Linked DNA regions of Elephas maximus indicus. The protein of the gene in region 2 purifies or fractionates together with the protein of the main gene of each other region. This does not show direct contact. Links are inferred from orthologs where the notes say so. Each region holds a gene or a part of one and is shown on either strand. Other genes may lie near its edges. The genes, in order: mitotic-spindle organizing protein 2B, NEDD1, CCT7 and TUBGCP3.

Evidence for each region.
Region 1: the proteins of NEDD1 (region 2) and mitotic-spindle organizing protein 2B purify together in Homo sapiens (affinity purification with mass spectrometry; 3 studies listed by BioGRID and IntAct, with this or other methods). This does not show direct contact. The link is inferred for Elephas maximus indicus from reciprocal best matches to the Homo sapiens genes NEDD1 and MZT2B.
Region 3: the proteins of NEDD1 (region 2) and CCT7 purify together in Homo sapiens (affinity purification with mass spectrometry; 3 studies listed by BioGRID and IntAct, counting the BioPlex papers as one, with this or other methods). This does not show direct contact. The link is inferred for Elephas maximus indicus from reciprocal best matches to the Homo sapiens genes NEDD1 and CCT7.
Region 4: the proteins of NEDD1 (region 2) and TUBGCP3 purify together in Homo sapiens (affinity purification with mass spectrometry; 3 studies listed by BioGRID and IntAct, with this or other methods). This does not show direct contact. The link is inferred for Elephas maximus indicus from reciprocal best matches to the Homo sapiens genes NEDD1 and TUBGCP3.

Annotation. Positions count from the first base shown.
Region 1 is NC_064840.1:21,597,372-21,604,303, reverse strand, and holds the start of mitotic-spindle organizing protein 2B, read left to right. Parts: upstream 1-3,930; 5' UTR 3,931-4,272; coding exon 4,273-4,436; intron 4,437-4,603; coding exon 4,604-4,752; intron 4,753-5,544; coding exon 5,545-5,709; intron 5,710-6,932. Other genes in the region: SMPD4 (sphingomyelin phosphodiesterase 4), read right to left, coding at 1,586-1,669, 3,587-3,661. UniProt on the Homo sapiens protein: Required for the recruitment and the assembly of the gamma-tubulin ring complex (gTuRC) at the centrosome.
Region 2 is NC_064822.1:162,446,240-162,453,397, reverse strand, and holds the start of NEDD1 (protein NEDD1), read right to left. Parts: upstream 3,007-7,158; 5' UTR 2,936-3,006; intron 700-2,935; 5' UTR 692-699; coding exon 556-691; intron 1-555. UniProt on the Homo sapiens protein: Required for mitosis progression. Promotes the nucleation of microtubules from the spindle.
Region 3 is NC_064835.1:62,607,018-62,614,360, forward strand, and holds the start of CCT7 (T-complex protein 1 subunit eta), read right to left. Parts: upstream 3,011-7,343; 5' UTR 2,874-3,010; coding exon 2,868-2,873; intron 1-2,867. Other genes in the region: PRADC1 (protease-associated domain-containing protein 1), read left to right, coding at 4,366-4,432, 6,350-6,450, 6,986-7,095. UniProt on the Homo sapiens protein: Component of the chaperonin-containing T-complex (TRiC), a molecular chaperone complex that assists the folding of actin, tubulin and other proteins upon ATP hydrolysis.
Region 4 is NC_064841.1:78,744,081-78,751,749, forward strand, and holds the start of TUBGCP3 (gamma-tubulin complex component 3), read right to left. Parts: upstream 3,002-7,669; 5' UTR 2,615-3,001; coding exon 2,539-2,614; intron 1-2,538. UniProt on the Homo sapiens protein: Component of the gamma-tubulin ring complex (gTuRC) which mediates microtubule nucleation.

The DNA.
Region 1 (6,932 bases), on a different chromosome or scaffold from region 2:
AAAAATCATAAGTGTGTTCACTTTGTGGCTTTTGCTGATATTCTGACTTAAGGCAAAACAGAAAGCCAAGCAATAGGCAGGAGCTAGACACACAACCACCAGCCTGCTCATCATACCTCCACTCATCAGGTCATGCTGCCCAACTGGCCTAGAAGAGGCCACCAGCAGTGAGGCTGCAGCCTGATGCATTCTCGACCAGCAGCTCTCAGGCTTGCTTCCCAGTGCCTCCCTGAGGCATCACCAGTGACCTCAGGGCACTGCATACCATCAGGACAAAACTGACTCCTGCACGATCCCCAAGAAAAGGCTTAGCTCCAGGGGCAGGAGAGGGCAGTTACGGTGTATGGAGCCCCTGCCCCCGCCCCAGGCCCTGGAGAATTCAGGGTTTGTAAACACAAATTGGAAATTTCCCACGCGGCTGACTGCCTTTGAATTTACATAAATGTGACAGCGGTGAAAATGGCCAAGAACATGAAGGCATCGGCAGATACTTTCTTTACTGCATTATCCCTTATATAGTAGATAACTAAGTAAAGAACTGGCTAAAACTACAGACAGTTCCAGCCAACAGTCGACACTAACCACCAAAGCAATGTAGTAGCCAGAAAACATTCAGGACGAGCACTAAGGAACTAAACATAAAGTTGTGGGATGAGGGGAGCAGGTGGCATCTTAACCGCGTGAAGGAAAGGCCTCTCTGCAAATGGACTGAGACCGGGAAGGAAAGCCAAGATTTTAACCACAAGGCCTTTGACCCAAGGATAGCTAAAGCCCTATCCAACTCTAAAAGAGGATGGACCATGGGTCTCGATCAGAGATGGAAACCTGGGCTGTTTAGGCCTTGGTCACCAGGGAAGAATGCCCTTCCAAACAAGTGTTTACAGAAAGTATCTCCTGGGAACTAAAATTAGAAACAAAATAGGAAAATAGGGTTCACCCTTCATCACCAGTACTGTCTCACACCAACTTCTTGGCATCACGCTTAATACTCAAAGCTCAGCTCCAGTTCCCCCAGCACAGCAGGGTTCGTCTTTCACTGACAACCAACCAGTTGCCATCGAGTTGACTCTGACTCACAGTTACCCCATGTGTGTCTGACTAGAACTGTGCTCCAGAGGGTTTTCGATGACTGATTTTTCGAAAGCAGATGGCCAGGCCTTTCTTCCAAGGCACCCCTGGGTGGCCGTGAACCTCCAACCTTATGGTTAGCATTTGAATGCATTAGCCGTTTACATCACCCAGAGGCTCCTTCGATGGTGATAGTTAGCTTTATCAAACCATCTCATATTTGTGTAATTATTTAAGGGCATGAAAATTCTGACGTCCATCCTCCTTGCTTACTCTTCCCCATGCCCAGGGAACAGGAAGAATAGGAATTTAAATCAATTCATCAACACCAGAGCTCAGAGTTTGAGGAACCCCAAGGTCCTACACCAACAGCAGACAGCATCAAGCTTAAAGATTCTAACTCTGAGTCCAGTGTTATTTCCATCACTGGGCCCTAAGGAAACAACCACTGGAGAGTTCTTTCTGTCAATGGAAAGAATACTTAAGTTCCTTTGCTCACATGGCCGTTGATACTCACCAGTAGGAAACTGGGCTGCTGCAAGTGAGGGAACGCCATGGCAGGTTCCCGTGGAGAGTCAAAGATGGCCGTCTTAGGAAACCACTGTGAAAAAACAAAAATGAGATCTCAACATTTACTACACAACAGATTATGTACATTCGCAATGCCCATGAGAATGTCTGTATAACCCAACACACACTGCACCACCACATCCCGTGTTTTACAGAAATGTCATTCTTATGCAGTTCAGGGTGGCCAGCTTCAGACCCAAGTTCATGGGGAATTTGCAGATGTAAGTAAAGGCTCAAGTCAATTGACCTTAGATACAGAGATTACCCAGGTGGACAGAGCGTGATCCCGGAGCAGAGCGTTTTCTCCAGCTGGTAACAGAGTGGAAGCCAGAAAATTCCAAGCATGAGAAGGATTCGATATGCCATAGCTACTTTGAAGGTGGAGGAAGCCACCTAACAAGGAATGCAGGCAGATTTTGGAGCAGAGAGCAGCCTCCAGCTGACAGCCAGCAAGGAAATGGTGACTGTAGTTCTACAACTGAAAGATACTGAATTCTGCCAGCAACCTAATGAGCTTGGAAGCAGATTCTTCCCCAGAGCCTCCAGGTAAGAACAAAGTCTTATAAAGCCCTAAGCAGAGAACCCAGCCAAGCCCACTTGTACTTCTGACTACGTAACTTTGAGATACTAAAAGGGTGCTATTTGAAGCTAAGCCTGCCACACAGCAGCAGCAAATACATCCTCACAACCACCGTATGAGGTCAGTACAGATTAGCAAACAGAGGGACAAAGGGGTTGAGTCACTTACCCACACCAGCTAGTAAATGGCTAAGCACAGATTCGAATACACAGACCTTCCAAATCTCTCAGAGACAAAGTTAAACACTGTCTATATTACCTGTGCTTTACGGGAATAAACCAAAGGAGGGAAGGGCAAGCTCTGCCAAGGTAGCCTTTGAATGAGCCATCAGAAAATCTCACTCACCCAGGACAGAAACTGAAAAAAACCCAGACTTCGACTGAGTAGGGGGGAAGCCTGCCCGAGTACCCTTGACGGCTTTTGGAGGCAGAGAGGCTGGGTACAAGGAAGCGGTGTAGGCAGCTGGGGTCTTAGCAATATGAACACTTCCAGGCTTTTTCGTTTCTCAGTTCTAGCTAGCTACCAGTTTCAGGTTTAAGAATGAATTAAAATAAAACGCCTCAGTCATAAACCATTTGATCAAGAAAACACTGTTTACTACTCCAAAACGATCAAGGCAGCATAAAATCCCGGACTGTTTGAAAAGGGTAGAGCCTTCCACACGAAGTGAAAGCACCACCCTGCTCAGGGGAAGCTGAAGGAATAAGCCCCAAACAGAGATCTTTCCAAGAAGCTGTTTCCCCGCACACTCTGTCCTCCCAGCGTGCAGCATCCACGCTCCTCCCAGTCACACCCCTCCGCGACTGTGCAACAAGCGTTTGTTTTATCCCGCCCCTTAAACACCCACTTTCTTCAGGAGCTGCTTCACACCCTGCTGTGGGGTTTGTTCTGAGGCCGGTAGCTGCTCCCGCCCTAGGCGAAGCAGCGGCATCCTCCCGTTTGTCGCTCACAACTGTCCTGTGAAGTGGGCATCGGGCCCTCATGTTGCAGAGGAGAACTGAAGCTTGGAGCAGTCGAGTCACATAGGAAGGAAGGGTCGGGCTGAGACCCAAACCCAGTCTTCCTCCCACACCACTCCCTGAGCCACAAGGCACAGCTTTAACTCGAAGCTCTCCTTCCTTGAACTCGTTAAACGAATGTTAACCGAGCACCTACCGGGACAGGTGTGCGAGCCGCCCGAATAAGTGACATGGAGGTGCAGCCCCGACCCTAGGCCGCCCCCGCCCGCCCCGGCCGGTGCAGAGACGCTGGGATCCAGCCCGAGTCCTGGGGCTCATGGAGGGGCGGCGACGCCCGGTGGGCCTCGGCAGGGACGTCAGGAAGCCGCCACGGTGCAGGGATGTCTCGCGGGCGGCTCCCACCACTCACCTGGGGCGCCCACAGCGCCGTTCGATTCAGGGCCCAACGCCGCCGTTCCGAAACCCAGCGCCTAAGTGTCGTCATCAAACTGCGCGTGATGTTACACCCCCAGCCCTGGCCAGGCGGGAAACGCGCTGCTACCCCTTCAGGAACCTGACTTAAAATGCGCGTGCGCAGAGGTAAGGCCTCCTGAGTTTGTGGGCGTCCGCCACGGAATGCGCGTGCGCAATGGGGGCGTTTGAGCCCTATACGCGGGAGCTCGTGCGCCATCTCCCTGGCCAGGAGTGCGCGTGCGCATAAGCAGAGGTCGCTTATTAGGCCCACCGAGGAGCGCCTCCTAGTGGTGAACAGGCACCTAACGATTACATGTGGCGCAGAAGACGTAGCAAGCGTTTATTGAGCGCCTACTATGTGCTCGACACTGGGCTGAGCGCTGATACTCGAACAAGCACGACCAACGCAGTCTAGCCCGGAATCGCCCAGGAGCGGATCCGGGCGGTTCATCTTGGGACCCCCTAGCCGATGCACAATAGGCGCTTAATAAATGCTACGGGGTCGGATGGCGGCACGGACGGAGTCCCGGCCCCCCTGCCCTCGCAGGTTTGGCGGCGGAAACGGCCAGGAGGGGGCGCTGTGGCGCGGAAGGCGGGGCCGAGGCGCGGGCGCCCAGTGCGCGCGCAGTTCCCGCCGCGCTGATGGCGGCGCCGGGCTCCGGGCCGGGGCAGGGGCCGCCGGCGGGGCTGGAGGCAGCCCTGCAGAAGCTGGTGCTGCGGCGAAAGAAGGTGCTGAGCGCCGAGGAGATGGAGCTCTACGAGCTGGCGCAAGCGGCGGGCGGCGCCATCGACCCCGACGTTTTCAAGTGAGCGGGTGCGGGAGGCTTGGCGCTCGGCCGACCCCGGCTCCGCTGGCCTGGAGGAGTCCCGCCCTTAACTGGCGGCCACTGTAGGGATGGGGTCCTGCGGGCGCGCCGAGCAGGCCCGGCCCCGGCTAGTGGGCTCACTGCGCCCGCTTTTTTGTTCTCGCCAGGATCCTGGTCGACCTGCTGAAGCTGAACGTGGCCCCGCTTGCTGTCTTCCAGATGCTCCAGTCCATGTGTGCCGGGCAGAGGCTGGCGAGCGAGCCCGCGGACCCTGCAGCCCTTCCTCTGCCCGCGGCCAGCGTGCCTGAGACTCGAGGTCAGAGCTGGGGCCGCCGGCACAGGGAGAGGGCAGGACGTGCGTAGAGGCTTGGCGCGGAGCGGCCAGACCTTTCTGTTGGTTTTGCTTCTGGAGCCGCAGGGCCCATTGCAAGGGCTTGCTCCGTGATCGCTGCTGCCCTCGAGGGGGCACCTCCAAATCTGGGGTGCTCGGGGAGGGTGCCCCAGGGCAGCCCAAGCAGGCCAGCGCTCCTCTGGACCCTTTGCATCCCCAGCACTCTTCCCGCCTCTTCTCTATACCTTCATTTCACAAACACGGGGGACAAGATGGTTTTGGTCCCTGTCCTCGGGGGGTGGGGCAGGCAGAAGCTTTCCTGGCACCCCCTTGCTCATGCCGCACTCCAGCCCAGGCCCTTCCTAGGGGTCTGGACTGCAGGGTGGGGGCCTACAGTGGCCCCTAGCTTTTCTAGAACATGCAGCACTCCCAGCTTGCGGGGATGCAGAGGTGACTGTGGGGTGCATAGGTGCTGGAACCACAGTGCCTGCTCCAAATCACCCTCCGTGTGTGTCGTTTCTGCCCCCCGTGGCCATTGGAGACTCAATGAGACTCAGTAGAACTTCCCAGGCAAGTGACAGGGGTCCAGGGCTTCCTCCCTGCCCAGAGGCCTGTGGGCACTGCACGGGCGTCCTGGGAAGGGGCTGGTGTCTGGGTGGTGGGAGTGCAGGGCCCTGGGTGCCTGCGCCCGTCCTAACAGGCCCTGGGCACGTGCGCTCCAGCCTCCACACTGACCATGCTCTGTCTGCTCTCTTTGTGTCTCTCTCCGACCTCCAGAGGCCTCCCTTCTCTCTGCCAAGAACAGTAGCCCCCCTGCAAGGCCCTCCTTTCCCGCGGCCTCTCCGGTTCTGCTCCACGGCCCGGCTGCCACGCTCTCGCCTCTCTCTCCGGGGCCCCCTGGTTCCCTCCGGTTCTCTTGCTGCCTGTTCTCTCCTTTTGCAGGTTGCGTTTATTGGCTTATCTCTGGGGGTTGGTGCTCTCATTTCCGTGGAAACGGCTGTGGCCCCAGCCGGCCAGATCAGCCTCAAGCTGCAAGGGCAGTACCACGAGCCAGCCGTGTCACCGTGTAGACACAGAGGGCACGATCTCAAGGTTAGAGATGACCTGCAGAACTTGTAGGCCATGCATTCAGACAGGTGTTAGGGGGAGGGACCTGCACCCCCACACCTCCTAGCTAATCCCGCTAGGTGTTAGCTAGGTGAGACTCCAAGGGATGACAACAGGCAGAGAAGCAGGGAGAGGCCTGAGGACAGCATGGGTGCTGTGGCAAGCACAGCCTTTGGCCTGGACATGCTTCAGCCTCTCGGAAGCTGTCACCTGGACAGGCTCCTAGGCCTCGGGGAACCTCCCGGAGGGTGAGGTGGAGATGCTGGTCCGTCCCCCAATTTCCCTGGCAGTGGTGCATGACTGACTTGTGCTTGCGAGTCCCCTTTCCTGCCTGGTGTCTGAGCCAGGCTACATTCCAGGCCTGGTGGTGTGATGAGACTGGGGTCCTAGAGCCAGGGGGTGGTGAGGGCCTGAGGTCCCCTAGGGTGCTGGTGTTGTGCCTCCCTCATGCCCCTCCCCGCATCCCCACCTCGCTATTGCAGGTGCCACCGGAAACTCAGGGCATGGCTGTCTCCCACACCTCCCTTCTTGAGGCCCTCCCCACAGACCAGCAGCCACCCTCCTGTGCCTCACTGCTCAGGCCCAGGGAGGTGCAGGGAAGGCCGATGATAGGAGCAGGAGTGGGTGGATTGCCAGGCTTCGATGAGGGAGCAGAACATTGCCTTGGGCCAGGGCATCCTACTTCTTGGAGGAGACAGAGTACTTATGCTTTGTAAACCTGGGTGCTGGGCACAGTAGGGAGGCAGGATGGACAAAGAGACAGGGGTGGCAGTGGGGCCAAGTCCAGTCCTGGGCAGCTCTGCTGGAGTTCAGGGGTTAAGCTGGGGGAGGGATGGTCAGCAGGGCCACTAGGCAGGCTTTCAGTACCAGCTGGAGTGGCAGATGTCACCCTGTAACCCTCCAGGGACTCTCCCTGCCAAATGTGGGACGGCAGGGCAGGGAATGCAGCACCTCCCGGCCTCTGGGGGAGCCAGGCCTGACCTGGGGTGACAGGAGGAGGGTGGAATGTCAAGAAGCATATCAGGGGTTGTGTCAGCAAGGCTTGGGGGCCATTGGAT
Region 2 (7,158 bases):
TTTCTCTATGGCTGTTTGAGAAATGATGCTACTTTCATCACAGAAAGGAAGGGAAATGCAGAGAGTAAGTACATCAGTAAGATAGAGCTGTTAGACGTTTTAACTCCTCCCAATCAACCTTTGCTTCGGCCTTCAATTTCTGCCTATAATTTCTAGACTGGATCCACAAATACCCAAATAAAGATGCAAAAACTTATTCCAAAACCTTCTGGGATTTTTCCCACTATTACCTTATCCTATTTACTTCAATAACAACCTGTTTATAGTAAAAAAAAAATACAACTAATTCTAGAGTCCAGATTCTCGTAGCTAAGTTTTTTTTTTTTTTTTTTTAAATAACAGTGTTTTTCAATGTAGTGGACTCCATCTAAAAAATGAAACCAAATAAAGAATACCAGAGTGCATTTATATGGTATACTGTTCATCAAGTGTCTGTTTTACTTTATCTTTGGTAGCACTGCAAAATACATTTCTCATTATGGGCTGTACTCAAAAGTTTCACTGACACTTTTTTTTTTAAGCTAATAAAAAGGGGCTATAAGAGAAAAAGGATACTATTGCTACTCCAACACATTGAGCTGACTCCATGTGGTGATGTGTGTGGGTTGAATTTATCCACCAATGTCATAGATGAAGCATCCCATATTTTAATATCATCTCCTGATGAAGCAAATCTGAGGTTTTCCTGCATGACTGCACCTACGAACAGTTTAAAACGATAAATTTAAAAAGCAACTGATAGGCAAAAAAAATGTCAAAATGAAGCCTCTAATATAAAACAAGAGTATATAGCCCTACTAATCCACTTATGCCCCATAGGATGCACTCACCATAAGGCAGCTGGAGAAATCTTTTTACAACATAAACCAGATCACATTCTCCTAGTGACCCTTCCTAGCGCTCCTCACAGCAACAATGAAACTCAACACCCTTAGCATGTTTCTCAAGACCCTGAACCCTGTGTACTTCTCTCCTATCACTCTTCCCCCAGTCCATCAGACTCCGGACACACTGGCTTTCATTCTGTCTCATGCAACAAGCCCAGGTCATTCTCACCTTTGCATTTTCTGCTCCCTCTGCTTGGAAAGCTCTTTGCCCAGATTTCTCATGCCACCTATCTCATCATTTAGGCCTCTCCCAAGCACCATGACTTAAGCAGCCCCAGTTATCTTCTATCCCATTACTGTTTCATTTTTTTTTTCCTGGCACTTAATAGTATCAGAAATTCTTATTTGTTCTAATAATGTGTACCTCCTTAAAGAGACTTGAATAAAATAAAGGTTCCTGAGGGCAGGGAGTTTGTCTTGCTTATTACCAAATTCTTTAAGTCCTTGGCACACAGTAGATACTCAACAAATAACTACTGGATAGGTGACTTCCTTACCTTTTAAAAAATGTACGCTATCAAACTGTAACACTCCGAGAGTTCTGAACCCAGTCACCTCAGTTTTTCCAAACAAATCCAAAATTAGCAAATATGGCCAAAGGAGACGTCACTAAGCCCCTACTCAGATTATTTATTCATGACATATAATACAAACTATAATCTAACAGGGTGATTTCCCAATGCACAGCAGTCTACAAGAAAGAGGGCAGGGAAGCTGCTTTAGGCAGGCACTTTAAAGAACAACAAGTAGTAACAGATGACCAGTCACAAAAAAATGTTCAAAATTACCATGGGAGAAAGCAGAAGGGAGAGAACATATATATACAGCCCTCCACACCTTCCTAGTGTGGACAGTCCAAGACTAGCACAGCATTACCGATGTCACAGACAGGCCCCCAAATCATCAATAAAACATCACATTTATAGTCAGTCTACTCCATTGCAGAGGACAAGCATAATAAATTACACAATGCTCTCATTCCCAAGAGACGAAAAAAAAAAGTAGTGTGCTAATAAAAAGGCTAAAACTTTTGTTAACTGGAAAATTTACTGTGATTCATCATGCTTCATGCATCAGATAAATGTGATGCTACTAACAGTTGTTAGTTACCTGCTGAAATGCAGACATACAGGGTTTGGATCTGGTGCCTTAACATGTGCCCTCCTGGTTCCCTAGGCAAGGAACAATGAAGTGCTGGAAAAGCCATCTCTAAACCAGTAAACACAACTGAAAGCCTTCACTACTATAATCTTGCACCATTCCTCCTTAGTGGTGTGACACAGTGGAAAGATCACTAAGGCTCAGAAAAACTGATCAAGCGATCCACCTGAGTTAGGTAGGTGACAGTGTCTTTGGCCATTAAATGTCTATTTCCTTCTCTGAAAGTGGAGCGGGAAACGGAGACCATCTGCCCAACTACATCAGTCTTCTGAAAACTGAGCACATTAAAGGAATAAGCATTACATCAGCCTCTGACAGGGTCCCACTGAAAGTGAGCTGTTAATAGACGGCCCCGATCTGGGGATAGGGACTAACTGAAACAATTCCACTCGGACAGTCAGCTTGAACAAATAAAATTTATCCAACTTTCATTCGCCAAAAACGCATTTTACTTGCAGAACTGCTCAACTGGGGTACCCTGTAAAATGCATTTGCGTGCCTGCTAAACGAGTCATATTTGAAGTTTATAAAAAAGGAAACAAACTTGTGAAGACAAGGTAAACTTTTCGGAGATAGAACATGCCTCAGAGTCGCACCAACCCACCCTAGCTGACCCAGGCGACCACTCGGGCAGGGACTGAAGCCCCCTAAGTCGGAGCGCACGACCCCGGACCGCGACTCATGCGCCCACTCCGGGGCATTTCCGCGCCAATTGCTCCGCCTCGCCCCTACCCAGCAACGGCCTGGAGCGCCGGGCAGGTCAGAGCGCACGGCGCCCAGGGGCCTCCGACCAGCCCCTTGAGGTGGCCGGAGGACAGGTGGGGTTCAAGCGGAACGCAAAGACGTGGCGGCAGCGGCCAGCTGACCCCGGCCCTCCGGGACCTCACCTCTCACCGGCGGCACAACAGAGAACCACTGCCCGCCCCGCTCCAGCGCTAGGCTTCCGGCTCCCGCCTGGATTGTTAAACTTCGGCGGCCGGAAGTCCCGCCTCCAAATTACGTCAAGGGGCGGGGCAGGGCGGGGCGCGGCCCAAAGCAGCGGTTTCTGTTGGTGGGGCTGAGTCAGGGGTGGTACTGCCCTCCGCAAGGGTGGTGATTCTGGCTCCTGAGCGGGGAACTGCTGGGCTGGGCGGCTCCCTACATGTCCCAGGCCTGCACTCCAGCCGCAGGAAGCTGCTGCTTTGTCCGTTATTTGCTCCCTGAGTGCCTACTCTGTGCCAGGCACTGTGCTAGAGTCTGGGCGTACAGTAAGGAGAATAACCTGGGGATACAGAGGTAGCCCTTGGCCTCATGGAGTTGACAGTCTTATATAGTTGGTTGAGGTTAATAAATAATTGCATACATGAAAAGTGAAACTGTGACAAATGCTACAAAGGGTAGGTACAAGATACACTAGAGGGAAATTAACATGAATGTGATTTTAGGAAAGGCTCCCCTGAAGAGGAAACCATGAAGAGCAGATAATGATAAGGCATGCAATTTACCAAAGAGTAGCAATTCTACTGTTAAATTGCAAAACCCATGATCTTTCTCTCACAACAGGCTCCAGGGTCTGTGACTTCAGACCCCATAGGGTTATGAAATGTTTTTAAGGGGATGCTTCTGGGGTGGAAAAAGAGAGAGTTAAACTGAGGGTCCCTTTTAACAGTACTAAAATTTTCTCTAAGAGTGTTGTTGTGGTTATATTGCTGTTAGGTGCCATCTAGTCAGTTCCGACTCATAACCTATTGCAAAACCTGTTGCTGTCGAGTCAATTCTGACTTGTAGCGACCCTACAGGACAGAGTAGAACTGCCCCATAGAGTTTCCAAGGAGCACCTGGTGGTTTCGAACTGCCGACCTTTTGGTTAGCCGCCGTGGCACTTAACCATTATGGCACCAGGGTTTCCTTCTGACTCATAGTGACCCTATATACAGCAGAGCAAAACACTGCCCGGTCTTGCACCATTCTCACAATCGTTGCTATGCTTGAGCCCATTGTTGCAGCCACAGTGTCAATGTCATTAAGGGTTTCTCTCTTTTTCACTGACTCTCTACCAAGCCTGTTGTCCTTCTCCGGGGACAGGTCTCTCCTGATATGTCCAAAGTACGTCTTGCCATCCTTACTTCTGAGAAGCATTCATTCTTCTGCTGGTCCATGGCATGTTCAATATTCTTCACCAACACCATAATTCAAAGACATCAATTCTTAATTGGTCTTCCTCATGCATATGAGGCAATTGAAAATACCATGGCTTGGGTCAGGTGCACCTTGCTCTTCAGACTGACATCTTTGTTTTTCAACACTTTAAAGACATCTTTTGCAGCAGATTTGCCCGATAAAATACGTTATTTGATTTCTTGACGGCTGCTTCCGTGGTGTTGATTGCAGATCCAAGTAAAGTGAAATCTTTGCTGACTTTAAACTCTTCTCCATTTATCATGATGTTACTTATTAGTCCAATTGTGAGGGTTTTTGTTTTCTTTAGGTTGAGGTGGAATCCATACTGAAGTCTGTAGTCTTTGATCTACATCAATAAGTGCCTCAAGTCCTCTTAACTTTCAGCAAGCAAAGTTGTGTCATCTGCAGTCACAGGTTGTTAATGAGTCTTCTTCCAATCCTGATGCTGAATTCTTCATATAGTCCAAACCAAAAAACAAAAACAAACCCATTTGCAATCAAGTAGGTTACAACTCATAGCAACTGTCCTGGATTGAATTGTGTCCCCCCAAAATGTGTGTGAACTTGGCCAGTCTATGGTTCCAAGTATTGTGTGATGGTCCACCATTTTGTCAACTGATGTGATTTCCCTATGTGTTGTAAATCCTACCTCTATGACATTAATGAAATTCCATTTGTGGCAGTTATGTTAATGAGGTAGAACTCAATCTACAAGATTAGATTGTATTTTTTTTTATTAACTTTTATTGAGTTTCAAGTGAACATTTACAAATCAAGTCAGACTGTCACATATAAGTTTACATACACCTTACTCCGTGCTCCCACTTGCTCTCCCCCTAATGAGTCAGCCCTTCCAGTCTCTCCTTTCGTGACAATTTTGCCAGCTTCCAACTTTCTCTATCCTCCCATCCCCCCTCCAGACAGGAGATGCCAACACAGTCTCAAGTGTCCACCTGATATAATTAGCTCACTCTTCATCAGCATCTCTCTCCTACCCACTGTCCAGTCCCTTTCATGTCTGATGTGTTGTCTTCGGGAATGGTTCCTGTCCAGGGCCAACAGAAGGTTTGGGGGCCATGACTGCTGGGATTCCTCTAGTCTCAGTCAGACCATTAAGTATGGTCTTTTTGTGAGAATTTGGGGTCTGCATCCCACTGATCTCCTGCTCCTTCAGGGATTCTCTGTCGTGCTCCCTGTCAGGGCAGTCATCGATTATGGCCAGGCACCAACTAGTTCTTCTGGTCTCAGGATGATGTACGTCTCTGGTTCCTGTGGCCCTTTCTGTCTTTCGGGCTCTTAGTTATCGTGTGACCTTGGTGTTCTTCCTTCTCCTTTACTCCAGGTGGGTTGAGACCAATTGATGCATCTTAGATGGCTGCTTGTTAGCATTTAAGACCCCAGACACCACGTTTCAAAGTGGGATGCAGAATGTTTTCATAATAGAATTATTTTGCCAATTGACTTAGAAGTCCCCTTAAACCATGGTCCCCAAACCCCTGCCCTTGCTCCGCTGACCTTTGAAGCATTCATTTTATCCCGGAAACTTCTTTGCTTTTGGTCCAGTCCAGTTGAGCTGACCTTCCATGTATTGAGTATTGTCCTTCCCTTCATCTAAAGCAGTTCTTATCTACTAATTAATCAGTAAAAAACCCTCTCCCACCCTCCCTCCCTCCCCCCGCAACCACAAATGTATGTGTTCTTCTCAGTTTATACTATTTCTCAAGATCTTATAACAGTGGTCTTATACAATATTTGTCCTTTTGCCTCTGACTAATTTCGCTCAGCATAATGCCTTCCAGGTTCCTCCATGTTATGAAATGTTTCACAGATTTGTCACTGTTCTTTATTGATGCATAGTATTCCATTGTGTGAATATACCACAATTTATTTAACCATTCATCCGTTGATGGACACCTTGGTTGCTTCCAGCTTTTTGCTATTGTAAACAGAGCTGCAATAAACATGGGTGTGCATATATCTGTTTGTGTGAAGGCTCTTATTTCTCTAGGGTATATTCCGAGGAGTGGGATTTCTGGGTTGCATGGTAGTTCTATTTCTAACTGTTTAAGATAACGCCAGATAGATTTCCAAACTGGTTGTACCATTTTACATTCCCACCAGCAGTGTATAAGAGTTCCAATCTCTCCGCAGCCTCTCCAACATTTATTATTTTGTGTTTTTTGGATTAATGCCAGGTTGTTGGAGTGAGATGGAATCTCATCGTAGTTTTAATTTGCATTTCTCTAATGGCTAATGATCGAGAGCATTTTCTCATGTATCCGTTAGCTGCCTGAATATCTTCTTTACTGAAGTGTGTGTTCATGTCCTTTGCCCACTTCTTGATTGGGTTGTTTGTCTTTTTGTGGTTGAGTTTTGACAGAATCATATAGATTTTAGAGATCAGGTGCTGGTCGGAGATGTCATAGCTGAAAATTCTTTCCCAGTCTGTAGGTGGTCTTTTTACTCTTTTGGTGAAGTCTTTAGATGAGCATAGGTGTTTGATTTTTAGGAGCTCCCAGTTATCTGGTTTCTCTTCGTCATTTTGGGGAATGTTTTGTATTCTGTTTATGCCTTGTATTAGGGCTCCTAACGTTGTCCCTATTTTTTCTTCCATGATCTTTATCGTTTTAGTCTTTATGTTTAGGTCTTTGATCCACTTGGGGTTAGTTTTTGTGCATGGTGTGAGGTATGGGTCCTGTTTCATTTTTTTGCAAATGAATATCCAGTTATGCCAGCACCATTTGTTAAAAAGACTATCTTTTCCCCAATTAACTGCCACTGGGCCTTTGTCAAATATCAGCTGCTCATATGTGGATGGGTTTATATCTGGGTTCTCCATTCTGTTCCACTGGTCTATGTGTCTCTTGTTGTACCAGTACCAGGCTGTTTTGACTACTCTGGCTGTGTAATAGGTTCTGAAATCAGGTAGAGTGAGGCCTCCCACTTTCTT
Region 3 (7,343 bases), on a different chromosome or scaffold from region 2:
TAATGTATGAGCTTCCCAAAGGTAAGCACTATAGCAATCTCCATTTGTAGAACGGCTAGATTTGGCCACATGTGAAACAACATTCAGCAGCTTTTGGTGCTGAAATTTCAACCATTACATAAACTAGAGGGGACACTGGTAATTCAGTGATAGAATTCTTGCCTTTTACACACCCAGAAACCACCCAGTGTCGTCGAGTCGATTCACACAAGAGACCCAAATTCAATTCTTGCCAATGTACCTCACGTATGCAGAAGATGTGGCAGTCTGCTTCCGTAAAGATTTATAGCCTTGGAAATCTTATAGGGTCACTATGAGTCAGAATCAACTCAGTGGCAGGGCGTTTGGTTTTTCTGGTTTGCACCCCATGTGCAGTCGCCACCAGTTTGTCACTGGAGGCTTGCGTGTTGCTACGATGCTGAACAGGTTTCAGCAGAGCTCCCAGATGAAGAGACTAGGAAGAAAGGCCTGCCAATCTACTACTACTAAAAATCAGCAAAGAAAACCCTATGGATTTTAACAGGCGTTTTCTTCCACTGCGCACGACATCACCATGAGTCAGGGCCCAACTTGACAAAAGCCAACAACAACATCATATACTAGAAAGTGCTTGATACAAGCCATGAAATAAGATAGGACTGGCTTATTTCATTAAAGAGTTGGCAGTATGGTGACACTAAATACACTGAGAATTCAATTCTTAAGTACAAAGCAAGGACTTGGAAGCAGCTGACCGCATGTTCTCCAAGTTCCCCATGCTTTGTAGTCCCAACAGAAACGACAGTCTGGGTAGAGAGATCCTATGGAGACGTAGCAGAGCTGGACTGAGGCAAGCCTTGTCAAGCAGGACCAGTCCTTTTCTATCATATTCCCAGGGCGATGCAGTGGTTAAGAGCTACAGCTGCTAACCATAAGGTCAGCAGCTCGAATCCACCAGGCATTCCTTGGAAACTCTATGGGGCAGTTCTACTCTGCCCTACAGGGTCGCTATGAGTCAGAATCGACTTGACCACAACGGGTTTGGTTTTTTTGTTGTTGTTTTCTTATTACCCTAGAAGACTTTTAGAATATCAGAGAACAATCTGATGACAGCAAGGAGGATTCTCGGTGAAAGTTTCACATTACAAAAGGAGGAGACATCTATCTAAACAACCAAAAGAGCAGGGAAATAGGGTCAATCTGGCAATGATGAGTAGGGGTCCATTCAGGAAAAACCCAAGTGCAGTGGTCTGAAGTCCCCTGGTGAAGGGTTTAATTATCAGACAGAAGAACCTGAGTTCTGATTCCCAGTTCTCTGAATACCAACCTAAACTCTTATGGTAGCCTTGGCAGTAGGATAGACTACAGGGAGGAAAAGGAAGTAAGCAACCACCTGGCTGAGTAATAGCTAACATTTACTGAGTGCTTACTACATGCCAGCCATGGCTCTAAGCACTTTACATACATTAATTCACTTAATTCTATACAATACTCTACTCATTGCTATCTCTTCTGACTGACTGAGGACCAGAAATTAAGTAACATGTTCCAAGTCACACAGCTAGTAAATGGGAGAGTTGAGTTATAAACCTAGACATTCAATATGGCTCCAGAGCCCTGACTCTAAACAGTTATTCTATGCTGCCTCTGTCCAGAAAGTGAAGACCATGTCAAGAATAGGTAGTGTTGAAGGTGGATTGAAGAAGGATGGTGCCAGAGGTCCAAAGTGGGGAGGGTTGCAGATAAACTACAGGTTCCTTGTATCTTGGGCACAACCTGGGTTCATGGGGCATTCAGTAGCAGAAGGAACACCTCAAAGGTGTCAGTCATACATCTACCAGGGCAGGGAGAAGCGGCAGGGAGCCAGAAAAGAGGACGAGTCAGACCGAGAGGCCAAAATGAATGAGAAAACTGCCAGGTGCACAGGGGAACAATAACTTAAGAGTTTTGCCAGCAATAACCTCCTTAAGAGCTGACCTCGTCCAACAGCAACTCAGTAGATAACTACCTAAGTTTGGGAAACAGGGAAGGAACCTGCAGCTCCGAGATAGAGAAAAGGGATGTTGTGGGAGGGGGAGAGCTCCACGATCCCCCAGTCCTCTATTCTAAGGAAAAGACCCAGAGTTAAGGGCCAACTAGAAAAGTCTAGTCCAATGTCGCACCAAGAGGTCGGGGGTCACAGCCAGGGTCTTCCAACCTCTGAGTGCGGTGTTCCCGTCTACCCTGCCCATTCTGGCTAAAGAGCTGCACCTCCTGCGACAAGCTGAGCCTGGTACATTCAATGGGCATTAAATATACGTTTATTTAAGGAATGAATGAGTGTGTGAATGAATGAAAATACGAGCGGAGGAGTATTTATGCTGTCTCAATTTATGCTGCACCGGATAGGCTGGGGGACAGTGAGCTACCATAAAGTGAAACCCTGGGCTCGGCCAAATGTAAGGTCCCCATGCTGCCTCTGCCCGTTCTAGGAACCACATAGCGTCTTTACATCCAGCATTCTCAGGGGCAAGCCAGCTTCCCAGCCGCCAACCGCAGAAGCACGCCCAACTGGCACTCCTTTCACACAAATCTCGATGGGGGACCCCAAAAACGGGGTGCCCGGGTCCACGACGCGGGCTCGTGGCCCCGAAGCACCCTGGGACTTGTAGTCCCCAGCCGATCGGCCAGAGCCTCCCCTGGAGCCCTACGCAGCCCTCGCCAACGGCCCCTGCTCGGTGCCCTAACCGAGCCAGGCCGCTGCGGGCCGGGGTCGCCCACAGGCTGCGGTCGGGTGGACACAGAGCTGGTACGCAGGAGAGGGCTTTAAGGGATGGGTCCCGGCCAGACGGTGCCAGCCACGGGCAGGATGGCAGCGGATGGCGACGGATGCGCGGGACTCCACTCACCATCATTTTGGAAGCTTATTTAATGGCCCGCTCCTCCTCCTCTCTTCTCTGGGTCCCGGCCGTCCGGCAACCCCACAATGCCTCGCGCCAAAGAAGTTCGCAGAACCTTCGTCAAGGCGTTGTGCCGGGAGAGGAAGGGGACGGGCCACTTCCGCCACTCTATGGTTCTTCTACCACAGAGTCGGCAAGGCTAGAAGGGCCAGAGGCTGGGCTTCGGAAGGAGGTGTAGGTCCCGCTACCCGAGGCCTTAATTACCGAAGCTTCTCCGGATTCCGGTCGTGCGTTTTTCTTCTCGGTGGTGCAGGCTTCTTACTCCGCCCCCGTCACCTACTAACCCTGATTCCGCCCCGATCCCCCACTGGACACTAGACCAAGGAATGCAATAAACGCGTGCATTTATTGAATGCTGTGAAACTGGCCTATGCTAAGTAAGCGCTTTTCGTAAATGAGCTCAATCCTAACAACCCTATTGCCTGGGTACTATTATTATACCTAGGGGCCGTGGTGTTGCAGTGGTTAAGCGTTTGGCTGCTAACCAAAAGGCCGGCAGTTCGAGTCCACTAGCCGCTCCCTGGAAACGCTGCCAGGCAGTTCTATTCTGCCTTATAGGGTCGCTAGCTATGAGTCGGAATCGACTCAACAACGGGCTTGGTTCTTTTGTTTGTCTTATTATTATACCTCTTTTCCAGATGAAGGAACTGAAGCTCAGAGAGGTTAAGAAATGGTGTCCAAAGTCACAGTTGCACACAGTGTGACAGTGAGGCGGGGTGAGAACCTGGCCCCAATACTCGTTTTCTGGCTCTGCACTGGCCAAAGCCTTACGGCTGCAGATCAGGCCGCGTTCCCAACGCCTACGAATAGTGAGCGCGCAAGAAATGATGCAACTGGGCATAAGACTGGCGGGCCTTGAACGCCAAGCCGAGAACGGTGGGCCACCTGGGCGCTAGACAAATGCCTTCCCGCGGGGTGGGGGCGTGGGACGGATTGGGGGAAGGAAAGCAAAGCAGAGTGCTCACGCCTGGGAGAAGGCAAATAAATTGTGAAGCGGCCACGGAGAGGATCCGGCCGAGATGGCAGGAACTAACCGCCAGGGCTTTTAGGCCGCTGAAGCGAGTCATCCGGGGTGCCCACCCCCAATTCTCCCTCCTCCCGGACCGGCCCACCAGTCGGTGAAGCCTTGGAGAGTCATATCCAAACTGAGAAGTGCTGGGGCGGGGCTGGGGCGAGGGCTGGCAATTGGTGTTCACAGCTTAAGCCAATCAGCCTTCAGCCCCACTTCTCTTGGCCAATGGGAAGTAGGCTAAGGCGCAGAGGCGGAAAGCGTGGCTACATGAGCAGGCATGAGAGCCAATCGGCAACAGGCCTCGTTCCGGTTAGCCAACAAGCCACGAGAGCGGGTCTGTGGGCGGGAGGCCGGAGCAGCTCTCCGGCTGAAGTCCGGCGAGGGACGCGCGGCGGGGCGCCGGGGGAAAACGCAGAGCCGGGCAGGGCCCTGGAAATGGTCCCTGGGGCCGCGGGCTGGTGTTGTCTCGTGCTCTGGTTCCCCGCGTGCGTCGCGGCCCACGGTGAGCAACGGGCGGGACTGCGCTGTGGGGCAGGCCGTCCAGCTTGCGCGCGTCTCCGGCTGGGGGCCACGGGTCACCTTGGGGACCCCGCGAGTTTGAGGCAGGGCAGGTGCGGGGACAGATGGCTGGCTGGTTGGGTGCTGGTCCCCAGGGACATGCGCTAGGCGCAGCCCAAGCCTAGACTCTGAGTCCTCAGCCCCCCACGTTGAAGCAGGACCCAGGTGGCCGAGGGTGGTGACCAGGACGAGGCACAAGGGACACCTGGAAAATCCTACAAGCTGGAGATATGTATGTGAGCACTCATACACATAAAAATATAATAAAAAATTATACAGCATATAATCCTACATCTGGGCTCTCACACAAGCACACACAATCTGTTAGCACCTACACAAGCACATGTACGTATACAGCCATGTATACATGTATGTATATATTTGTATATGTCGTTAGGTGCCGTGGAGTCGGTTCCAGCTCATAACCCTATATATGTGTGTATGTGTGTGTATACATATATATAAACCCCCCAGTGCCGTCGAGTCGATTCCGACTCGTATATATACATACACACATATACTCACACTTAATTTACACAGATAAACAGATGCAGAGGCTAGGCAAGGAGGTGGGGTGGGGAGCTTAGCTTTAATTCAGGAAGGCCTCCTGGAAGTGCATCTGTATTGGATGGAGAGTCCCCATTCTTGGGTCAAAACGCTATTGCCCAGTGCCAAGCCAACAGAGCGCTACCTGGTGGCAGTGATGTGGGCAGTAGGCGAGGACAACTAGTCACAATCAGCCCAAAGTCTGGCACATGGTAGTGCATGGTAATTTGTTGGCTAGCTGATCCATGGCTAAGGAAACCAGGGACTCGAGGCCAGGTAAAATATTAAACTTTGGTGCTGAAAAGAAGTTCCCACACCCCAGGAAAGTCTGTTTGCTCTGGCAATTCTCTTCCTCAGTGTGTTGGAGCCAGAAATAGTTGCTCATTCGTCACCCTTTGTTGAGCACCCGCTATATCTTAGCCCCTGTGTTAGACACTGGGGATGCAGCAATGAATATGAATACAATTACAAATTTTGTTGAAAACGTCAGTGGAGAAGAAGTACGAGGGGAACTCAATTCGAATGGGTGTTAGGAGAAGGCAGTCACAGTGCAGAAAGTTTCTCTGAGAAAGTGAAATTTAAGCTGTGACCCAAAGGATGCATAGGAGTGAGGCAGGTAAATACGTGGGGTGAGTGAAGGTAGGGAGCCTTCTAGGTAGAGAGAACAACTTGGAGGAAGACCTGGAGAAGTGAAGAGCTGGGATGGTCAAGAAACTGAAAGGAGGGCAGCGTAGTTTGAATATAGTAAGGAGGAGATGAGCTTGCAGTAGTGTCCGGGGGCCAGATCAAGCAGTGTCTTGTAGGCTGTTAAGACTTAAGATTCGATTTTAAGTCCAAAGGGAAGTCATTGAAGTCCTGGGGATGACAACATGGTCGTGTTTATGTGTTAAGATGGCTATTGTTTGGAGAATGGACCTTAGGAAGCAAGAGTGGAGGCAAACAAAAGTTAAGAAGCTGGAACAGTCAGGGCAATAGGGTGGGTGGGCTAGGGGAATGGCAGTGGGAACAGAGAGTCAATTTTAAGTTTTAGTGAGAATTGTTTACCGGGGCCACGACATCTCCACCTTGAAACTCCCAGGCCCACTTCAGAGCAAACAAGGATTAACTCCCCAGAGAGAGAACACTAGAACAGCAGCTATAAATCTCTGGGGTTACTAATGTTATCTGCCTCAACTCTATCCTCTACAGGGCAAAGACCGTCTATCTCACCCTCCTGGGGAGACCAGTCAGCCCAGGTTCAGACCCAGAGTCCACGGTCTGAACCTGAACTAACTTGTTCCCCGGAAGCTTCTCACCTGTACTCTTTGTCCTTCAGGCTTACGTATCAATGACTATTTGTACTTCCAAGTGCTGAGTCCTGGGGACATTCGATACATCTTCACAGCCACACCTGCCAAGGACTTTGGTGGTATCTTTGTAAGTTTCCGGAGGCCCTCTCCATTTTGACGTTCTTCCTCCCCTCCTCACTGAGCTGGGTGTCCCTCTCATCCCTTCAACCAGTACCTGAGTGCCGCCACGGCCCAGTGCTGAGCCGGGGAATGGATCAGAACCCAGCTGTGCCCTCCAGGGGCTGCAGTGCAGGGAGGAAATGCTTCCAGCTCCTCCCGTGGGTCTAGCACAGACCTGGGCACCATGGAGGGACAGGCTGTCATGACATAGTGAGAAACCAAAGGCACCAGCTTCCTCTGCCAGCTCTACCTCTGAACTATGTGATTTAAGGCAAGTCACTTCCCCTCTCTGGGTCCACACAAACTCCCCTATCTCCCAGAAAGGCAGGGTTGGGTAGGACAATCATCTGGGCCTTCGTGAGAATTACAATGCTCCAGTTCCCTGCACACAGAAACCAGTTCATGTTTCCTTCACACTCTACGGGAAACCAATTGGATGGGATGTCAGCGCAGTCAGAAAGCAGCCATCTTTTCACACTCTATTCTACCTGAATGTCTTTCAGCACACAAGGTATGAGCAGATCCACCTTGTCCCTGCCGAACCCCCAGAGGCCTGTGGGGAACTCAGCAACGGTTTCTTCATCCAGGACCAAATCGCTCTGGTGGAGAGGGGGTAAGGAGCGGGCAGACATGGACACAAGGGGAGAGCAGGCATAGGGCAGATTTGGGGGTCATAGTTGTTAGTGATGCTTTGAAACAGCTTTTCTGGGGACGAGTCATTGTTTTAAAGGTGTTTAAAACTATCTTAAGATGATTCCGGCCCTTTGGCTATTTACCTACTAGCCATTATAAAAAATCCTCCATGGTCCTTCTTCCACCCACACAGGTGATGGTCTGGAAAGGGGTAGCTAGGACCCTTTC
Region 4 (7,669 bases), on a different chromosome or scaffold from region 2:
AGTCAAATTTTAAAGCTGTTTTGAAGTTGAGAAATATTCTACCATAAAATGAATGACCTTCAAAATCCAGTCATGTGATCCCATTTAAATGAAATATCTATAATAGGCAAAGGCATAGAGACAGAAAAATAGATTAGTGGTTACTCTTGGGTTGGGGGGTCGTGGTGGGAAGAAGGGCATAGGGAGTTACCGCTCACTAGGTGTAGAACTTCTGTTTGAGGTGATCACTAGGCGTAGAACTTCTGTTTGAGGTGATCACTAGGCGTAGAACTTCTGTCTGAGGTGATCACTAGGCGTAGAAATTCTGTTTGAGGTGATAAAAAGCTTTGGAAACAGACAGTGGCGATGGTTGAACAACACTGTGAATATACCTAATGCCACTGAATTGCACACTTAAAAATGATAAATTTTTTGTTGTATGTATTTAACCTCAATTAAAAAAAAATTTTTAAGGTTAAGGAGGGACTATGGTGAAAAAACATAAACGTCTTAGGGAGCACAAATGGTTTGTATTTGACCACTAACCTAAGGGTTGATGGTTCCCACCCACTTGTATTTGTATTTGACCACTAACCTAAGGGTTGATGGTTCCAACCCACCCACTTCCACCATGGAAGAAAGGCCTGGTGATTTGCTTCTGATAAGATTACAGCCAAGAAAGAACTATGGAGAAGGTCTACTCTGTAGCACATGTGGTTGCCATGAGTTGGAATCAACTCCATGACAACTGATTTTTATGGAGAAAAAAATTAAGTCACGGCAATGGCAACGTTTATGTTGTTTAGCTCCAGTGGAAAAAACGTTAAGGGTCGCTCTGAGTCAGAATCGACTCAACGGCAACAGGTTTCATTTTTTTGGTATAATGAAAACACTGGTATTCAAGCTGTTAAGTCATAACCAGCAATCCTACGGTTATCCCATTTCTCCCATGATTAGGAGCATTAGAGAAGTTAACTAAGAGTGCTGGAGATACACATACAGGAGCTAGAGAGAAAAAGAGAAGACAGCACACAAGCTTATGCCCACCTCAAGACCTTTGTCCCTGTTCCCTCAACCTGGAACACTCCCCAGATACTCACACCACCCTCCTCACTCCAATCAGGCCTCTAAACATCTCCTCAGAGGCCTTCTCTGACCTCCCTCTCTGTGCTTTTACTCTACCATTAGTGATAAGTGTTTTCATCTTAAGACTCATCACTAATTATCATCATATATTTATGTGTTTATCATCTACGTTTTCCACTAGAATGTAAGCTCTATGAGATGTCTATCCTGTCCAGCTCTACCTCACCACGCCTAGCACAGTGCATACTTAGGGTGAACAGTGATGAGATGGAACGTTACAAAATGTAGCAGGAACTATGAAATCGGAGTCCCTTAATATGTTGTTGTTGTCGGGTGCCGTCAAGTCAGTTCCCACTCATAGTGACCTTATGTACAACAGAATGAAACACTGCCTGGCCCTGCACGGTTCTCACAATCGTTGTTACGGTTGAGCCCACTGTTGTAGCCACTGTGTCAATCCATCTCCTTGAAGGTCCTCCTCTTTTTCGCTGACCCTCTATTTAACACAGACACCCAAAAAATTTACCTTTTGCCCCAAAGGTTATCACAGAACATCAAATAAATGGCACACACTAACTGTCATGTGTTATAAGAGAAAGGTCAAAATACAGCGTTAACACTTTATTAAATGTAGTATTTTAAAAGTCTTCCCTCAAAAATTGCACAATTTCTTTTCCACATTGTAGTGCTTAAGGAGTAAGTAACCCAGTTACTTCGATTACCGCAAAATTCTCTCATGATGCATCTAATTCTCCTCTCCCCCATGCCAAGAGATGACATATTGGACCATTTTTAAAAATACCTCGGGTACAGAAGAGCTTTACATATTGCATAGGATTGGTTTTTGGTTTTGCTTCTTAGTAGCAACATCCGCTGTGTGAACTTTCCTGAATAGTTTTATATAAAATCCAACCTTCAACCCTTTACTATTAAAAAAAAAAAAAAAAAGGTAGCTGGTAGTCACAAGTACCCCTTCACGTAACAACGTTACACTTTCCTAAGAGAAAGGGGAAAACGACGTGGCCGCCCCCGTGGCGTTGCGACCCGAGGAGCTAACGTCGCCCTGCACCGCCCTCACAGCGTGTGACTGGGAACCGGGTCTACCCTTCTCCCGCCGCGTCAGCAAAAACCCAAATAATAAACCCAAATGAAGCGCCCGGGCTCCCGTCACGTCAGAAGGGGGGATGAGCGGGCGGCCCGGCAGCCGTCTCCGAGTCCTCAGCTCCCGGGGCTCCGAGCCCTCAGCTCCCGGGGCTCCGAGCCCTCAGCTCCCGGGGCTCCGAGCCCTCAGCTCCGGGGCTCCGAGCCCTCAGCTCCCGGGGCTCCGAGCCCTCAGCCCCGACACCCTCCGCCCCGCTGCCGGCAGACTCCGAGCTCCGCCAGGAAGGCAGCGGCCTCCCGCCCCGGCCTCCCCGGCCTCCCGCCCCGGCCTCCCCGCCCCGCGGCCCCGCTCCCGAGCCCGGGCGCCCTCACCTTCGCTCTTGCCCAGAATCCGGCAGCACAGGTTCTGCAGCAGAACGTTGGGCGACTTCTGGTCCGCGACCGCCATCGTCGCCCCGGCTGTGGAAACGGGCGTCGCCGGGGAGCCTGAGGGAGGTGGGCGCGCGGGCCCAGCCGCCGGGGAGCCTGAGGGAGGTGGGCGCGCGGGCCCAGCCGCCGGGGAGCCTGAGGAAGCTGCCCCCACGGCGCACCCGCCGGCCGCCGCCGCCGCCTCCTCAGGCCGGAGCGCGCTCCCGGTCTCCGCCGCGATCCGGCCACTGCTGCGCGCAGGGACCCGCGTACCGGCCGCAGCCGTAGCCCCGCGCCGCGCTCTAGCTCCCGACCTCCTTCCCTGTCAGGTTAAGGAACCGAGACGGCGGGCAGCAACGGCGCCATTTTAACAGAACCCGCCGAAACTGAGGCCAGCCCCCACAATGCCCTTCTTCTTCCCACCGCTTCAGGGCTTCCGAGTGCAATGGCCTAAAGGTTCCCCCTCTCCCGTCTCCGCACGCTTCCCCACCACCACCACCAAGCGGGACGGGAACGTTCCGGAGAACAAACTGCTCCATGCTACCTCCTACTGTGGTAACGTCCGCAGTCAGCACTGCTGCTGGGTACGTCCGGGAACGTTTTCTAAACATCTCAAAACGTTCCCCAGAGGCTCATCATGGTTGACTGTCTTGCTATGAGAGCCCTTGGCGGCCCGTAGCGCGTTTATACGCCATAATTTCGGAGTTTTTAAAAACTATATTGGTTTGAGATGTACTTTTAGTGGAAGTTGATTGACAGGAGTACAAGGGTTTTAATTTTTTTTACATTTAGTTTTTTTTTTTTTTTTTAGCATTTGAGCGTTGTGCTCAAAGTGGGCACTTTTTATACGTAGAATATGTGGCTGCTCAGGGCATAGTTTTAATGACACTGACTCACCAACCCCAACCCTCCATCAGCTTCTTTACCTCAGTCCCATAAAACTGTGATATCAGTGGAAGAATAAGAATCAGCCAGATGAAGACTCAAAGAAGAGGAAAAGGCCAAAGAAGAAAAAGATTAATGAATACAGCAAATACATCATATAAGTTCAATGATAGGAGTTAACTCCGAGTGTACCAGGTACTGAAAACTGCCTGACCCAGGAAAAAAAAACTAGAAAAAAATGACTCAATCCGCACATCACATCACCTGGTTAAGCGCATGGGATCCTGCCATCAGTGGGCCTGTGCAGTTCATGTGGCTATGGTAGATTAGACCAGGAATGGGTACTTGTCACAAGCTGGACCGATCAAAGTTTCTTTCCAGGAAATTTGGAAATCAGATCGAAAGAATTTGTAACCCAGGATAGCCTGACCTATAATACGGAAAAAGAAGCACTTTCCAACTATCAAGTGAATTTAGGAGGACAGAAAACAAAAAGAGGACTTACCAGAAAAGAACTCCAACCCCATCCAAAAAAAGACCCCCTGAGGCTCCCTCTTTGAAATCACAGGTGACATACGGTACCATGTTCTTGTTGTTAGCTGCCATTGAGTCGTCCATGACTCATGGTGACCCCATACACAACAGAACAAAATGCTGCCCAGCCCTGCATCGTCCCCATGATGAGTTGTGGATCAGGTCGTTGTGATCCACAAGGTTTTTATTGGCTGATTTTTCAGAAGTAGATTGCTGGGCCTTTCTTCCTAGTCTGTCTTAGTCTGGAAGCTCTGATGAAATCTGTTCAACATCGTAACAACACACAAGCCTCCGCTGACAGATGGCTAGTGGCTGCATGTGAGAGGCACTGACTGGAAATGAACCTGTGTCTCCCATATGGAAGGTAAGAACTCTACCACTGGATCACAAATGCCCCCCTATGATACCACAGTGGTAGCCTATTGAAGGCCCCAGACTCTGGAGAACCTTTTTGCTTCACTATACACTTTAACACCTGTCCTCTTCTACCATTTGAGTTTGAGGACTAGGCGAGTCATAAGCGTCACAGGAAAGAACCCGTAGGAGGCTCTTAGTGAGGCAATTGGAAGGCCAAAACTTGACATCAAGATCAAAACTGCAGTTTCAGATAGTAGCCTATGCCCATGGCTCTCCCCCTTTACTTCCCAGCCCTGCTGCTGTATTTGCCTGGGCTTCTGAGGTAAATCATGACAGCAGCATCACTGGGTGCAAACCACCCATGTATATGGGGGAATTTAGAAAGCCACATGCGTGCGGAGGCAAGACACAAGCTCAAAAAAATACCTAAGAAGATTATACACTTTGACCTCAGACAGATTCCTAATGATGTGGATTGAATTGTGTCCCCCACCCCAAAAATATGTATGAAAGTCCTAATCTCTGTAAATATGACCCTGTTTGGAAATAGGAATTTTTTTATGTTAATAAGCTCATAACAGATTATGTGGGCCCTAAACCTAATCACTTCTGAGTCAAAACTTTTGAGTCATACTGTCAAAAACCTAAGACAATGAGAGAATCTTAAAAGTAGCAAGAAAGAAACAAGTCATCATATACAAGAGATCCACAATAAGATTAACATCTGATTTCTCATCAGAAACCACGGAGACCAGATGGTGGTGGGCTAACATATTTGCAGCTTCCCCCCGCCAAGATCAGGAACAAGACAAGGATATCCACTTTTACTACTACTATTCAACATCGTACTGGAAGTTCTAGACAGAGCAATTAGGCAAGAAAAAGAAACACAAGCACTCCGAATGAGAAAGAAAGAAGTAAAACTACCCACATTCACAGATGACAGAGACTTAAATGTAAAGCCAAACACTACAAAATTTCTAAAACAAAGCATAGGAGAAAAATGTTTGTGAACATGAGTTACAAGAATTCATCATAAGAATTAAGAACTTCTGTTTTTAAGAAGGAAACCCTGGTGGGGTAGTGGTTAAGTGCTGCAGCTGCTAACCAAAAGATCTGCAGTTTGAATCCACCAGGTGCTCCTTGGAAACTCTGTGGGGCAGTTCTACTCTGTCCTGTAGGCTCACAATGAGTCTGAATCAACTCGACAGCAATGGGTATGGGGTATGGTATGGTTTTTGAGAATACAGTGTTGACAAATAAAAACTACGATGGAATACTATCTCATCCCAACAAGACTAGCATTAATCCAAAAAACACAAATAGTAAATGTTGGAGAGGTTGTAGAGAGACTGGAACACTTGTATATTGCTGGTGGGAATGTAAAATGGTACAACCAGTTTGGAAATCAATTTGGTGCTTCCTTAAAAAACTAGACATAGAAGTACCATATGATCCAGCAATGCCACTCCTTGGAATATATCCTAGAGAAATAAAGCCCTCACACAAATAGATATATGCACGCCCATGTTCATTGCAGCATGGTTTACAATAGCAAAGAGATGGAAACAACCAAGGTGCCTGTCTTAGTCATCTAGTGTTGCCACAAGTGGATGGCTTTAACAAAGAAAAATGTATTCTCTTGCTTTCTAGTAGGCTACAATCCAAATTCAGGACATAAGGTCCAGGGGAAGGCTTTCTCTCTCTGTCAGCTCTGGAGGAAGGTCCTTGTGATGCATCAGGCTTCCCTTGGTCTGTCTGGGAGCATCTCAGGTCCACAGGACACAGTCTGTTCCCGGCACTGTTTCTCGGTGGTATGAGGTGCCCAACTCTCTGCTTGCTTCCATTCCCTTTTTATCTCTTGAGAAAGAAAAGGTGGTGCAGGCCGCACCCCAGGGAAACTCCCTTTATGTTGGATCAGGGATGTGACCTAGGTAAGGGTGGTGCTACAATCCCACCCTAACCATTTTTAACATAAAATTATAATCACAAAATGGAGGACAACCACACAATGTTGTAAATCATGGAGCAGCCAAATTGATACACACATTTTTGAGGGGACATAATTCAATCCATGACAGTGCCCATCAATAGATGAATGGATAATCAAATTATGGTATATTCATACGATGGAATAGTATGCAATGATAAAGAACAATGATGAATCCTTGAAACATCTCATAACATGGAGGAATCTGGAATGCATTACACTGAGTGAAATTAGTCACAAAAGGACAAATATTGTATGAGACCACTATTATAAGAACTCAAGAAAAGGTTGAAATACAGAAGAAAACATTCTTTGATAGTTAAAAGGGTGGGGGGGGGGAAGAAGCATTCACTAATTAGATTAAAAAAAAAGAAAAAATTAGATAGTAGATAACAATTATTTTAGGTGAAGGGAAGCTCAGCACACAATACAGGGGAAGTCAGAACTACTGGACTAAACAAAAGCTAAGAAGTTTCCTGAATACAACCAAACAATTCAAGGGATAGAGTAGCAGGGGCGGGGGTCTGGGGACCATGGTTTCAGGGGACATCTTGGTCAATTGTCACAACAAAGTGTATTAAGAAAACGTTCTGCTTCCCACTTTGGTGAGTGACGTCTGGGGTCTTAAAAGCTAGCAAGTGGCCATGTAAGATGCATCAGTTGGTCTCGATACACCTTGAGCCCAGGAGAATGAAGAATACCAAAGACACAGGAAAATAAGAGCCTAAGAGACAGAAAAAGGACCACATAAACCAGAGACTCCATCAGCCTGAGACCAGAAGAACTAGATGGTGCCTGGCTACCACCAATGACTGCCCTGACAGGGAACACAACAGAGAATCCCTGATGGAGCAGGAAGACAGTGTGATTCAGAACTCAGATTCTAGTAAAAAGACCAGACTTACTGGTCTGACTGAAACTGGAGGGACCCCAGAGGCCATGGCCCTCAGACTGTCTGTTAACCCAAAACTAAAACTATTCCCAAAGCCAACACTTCAGACAAAGATTGGACTGGACTAGAAAACATAAAATGATACTAGTGAGGAGTGTGCTTTCTAGCTCAAGTAGACGCATGAGACTATGTGGGCAGCTCCTGCCTGGAGAGGAGATGAGAAGGCAGAGGGGCACAGGAGCTGGTTGAATGGACTCAGGAAATACAGAGTGGAGAGGAGGAGTGTGCTGTCACGTTATAGGGAGAGCAAAAGGGTTCACATAACAATGTGTGTATAAGTTTTTGTATGAGAAACTGACTGGAATTATAAACTTTCACTTAAAGCACAATTAAAAAAAAAGAATACAGTGTTGACAGAATGAAAAACAAACCACAGA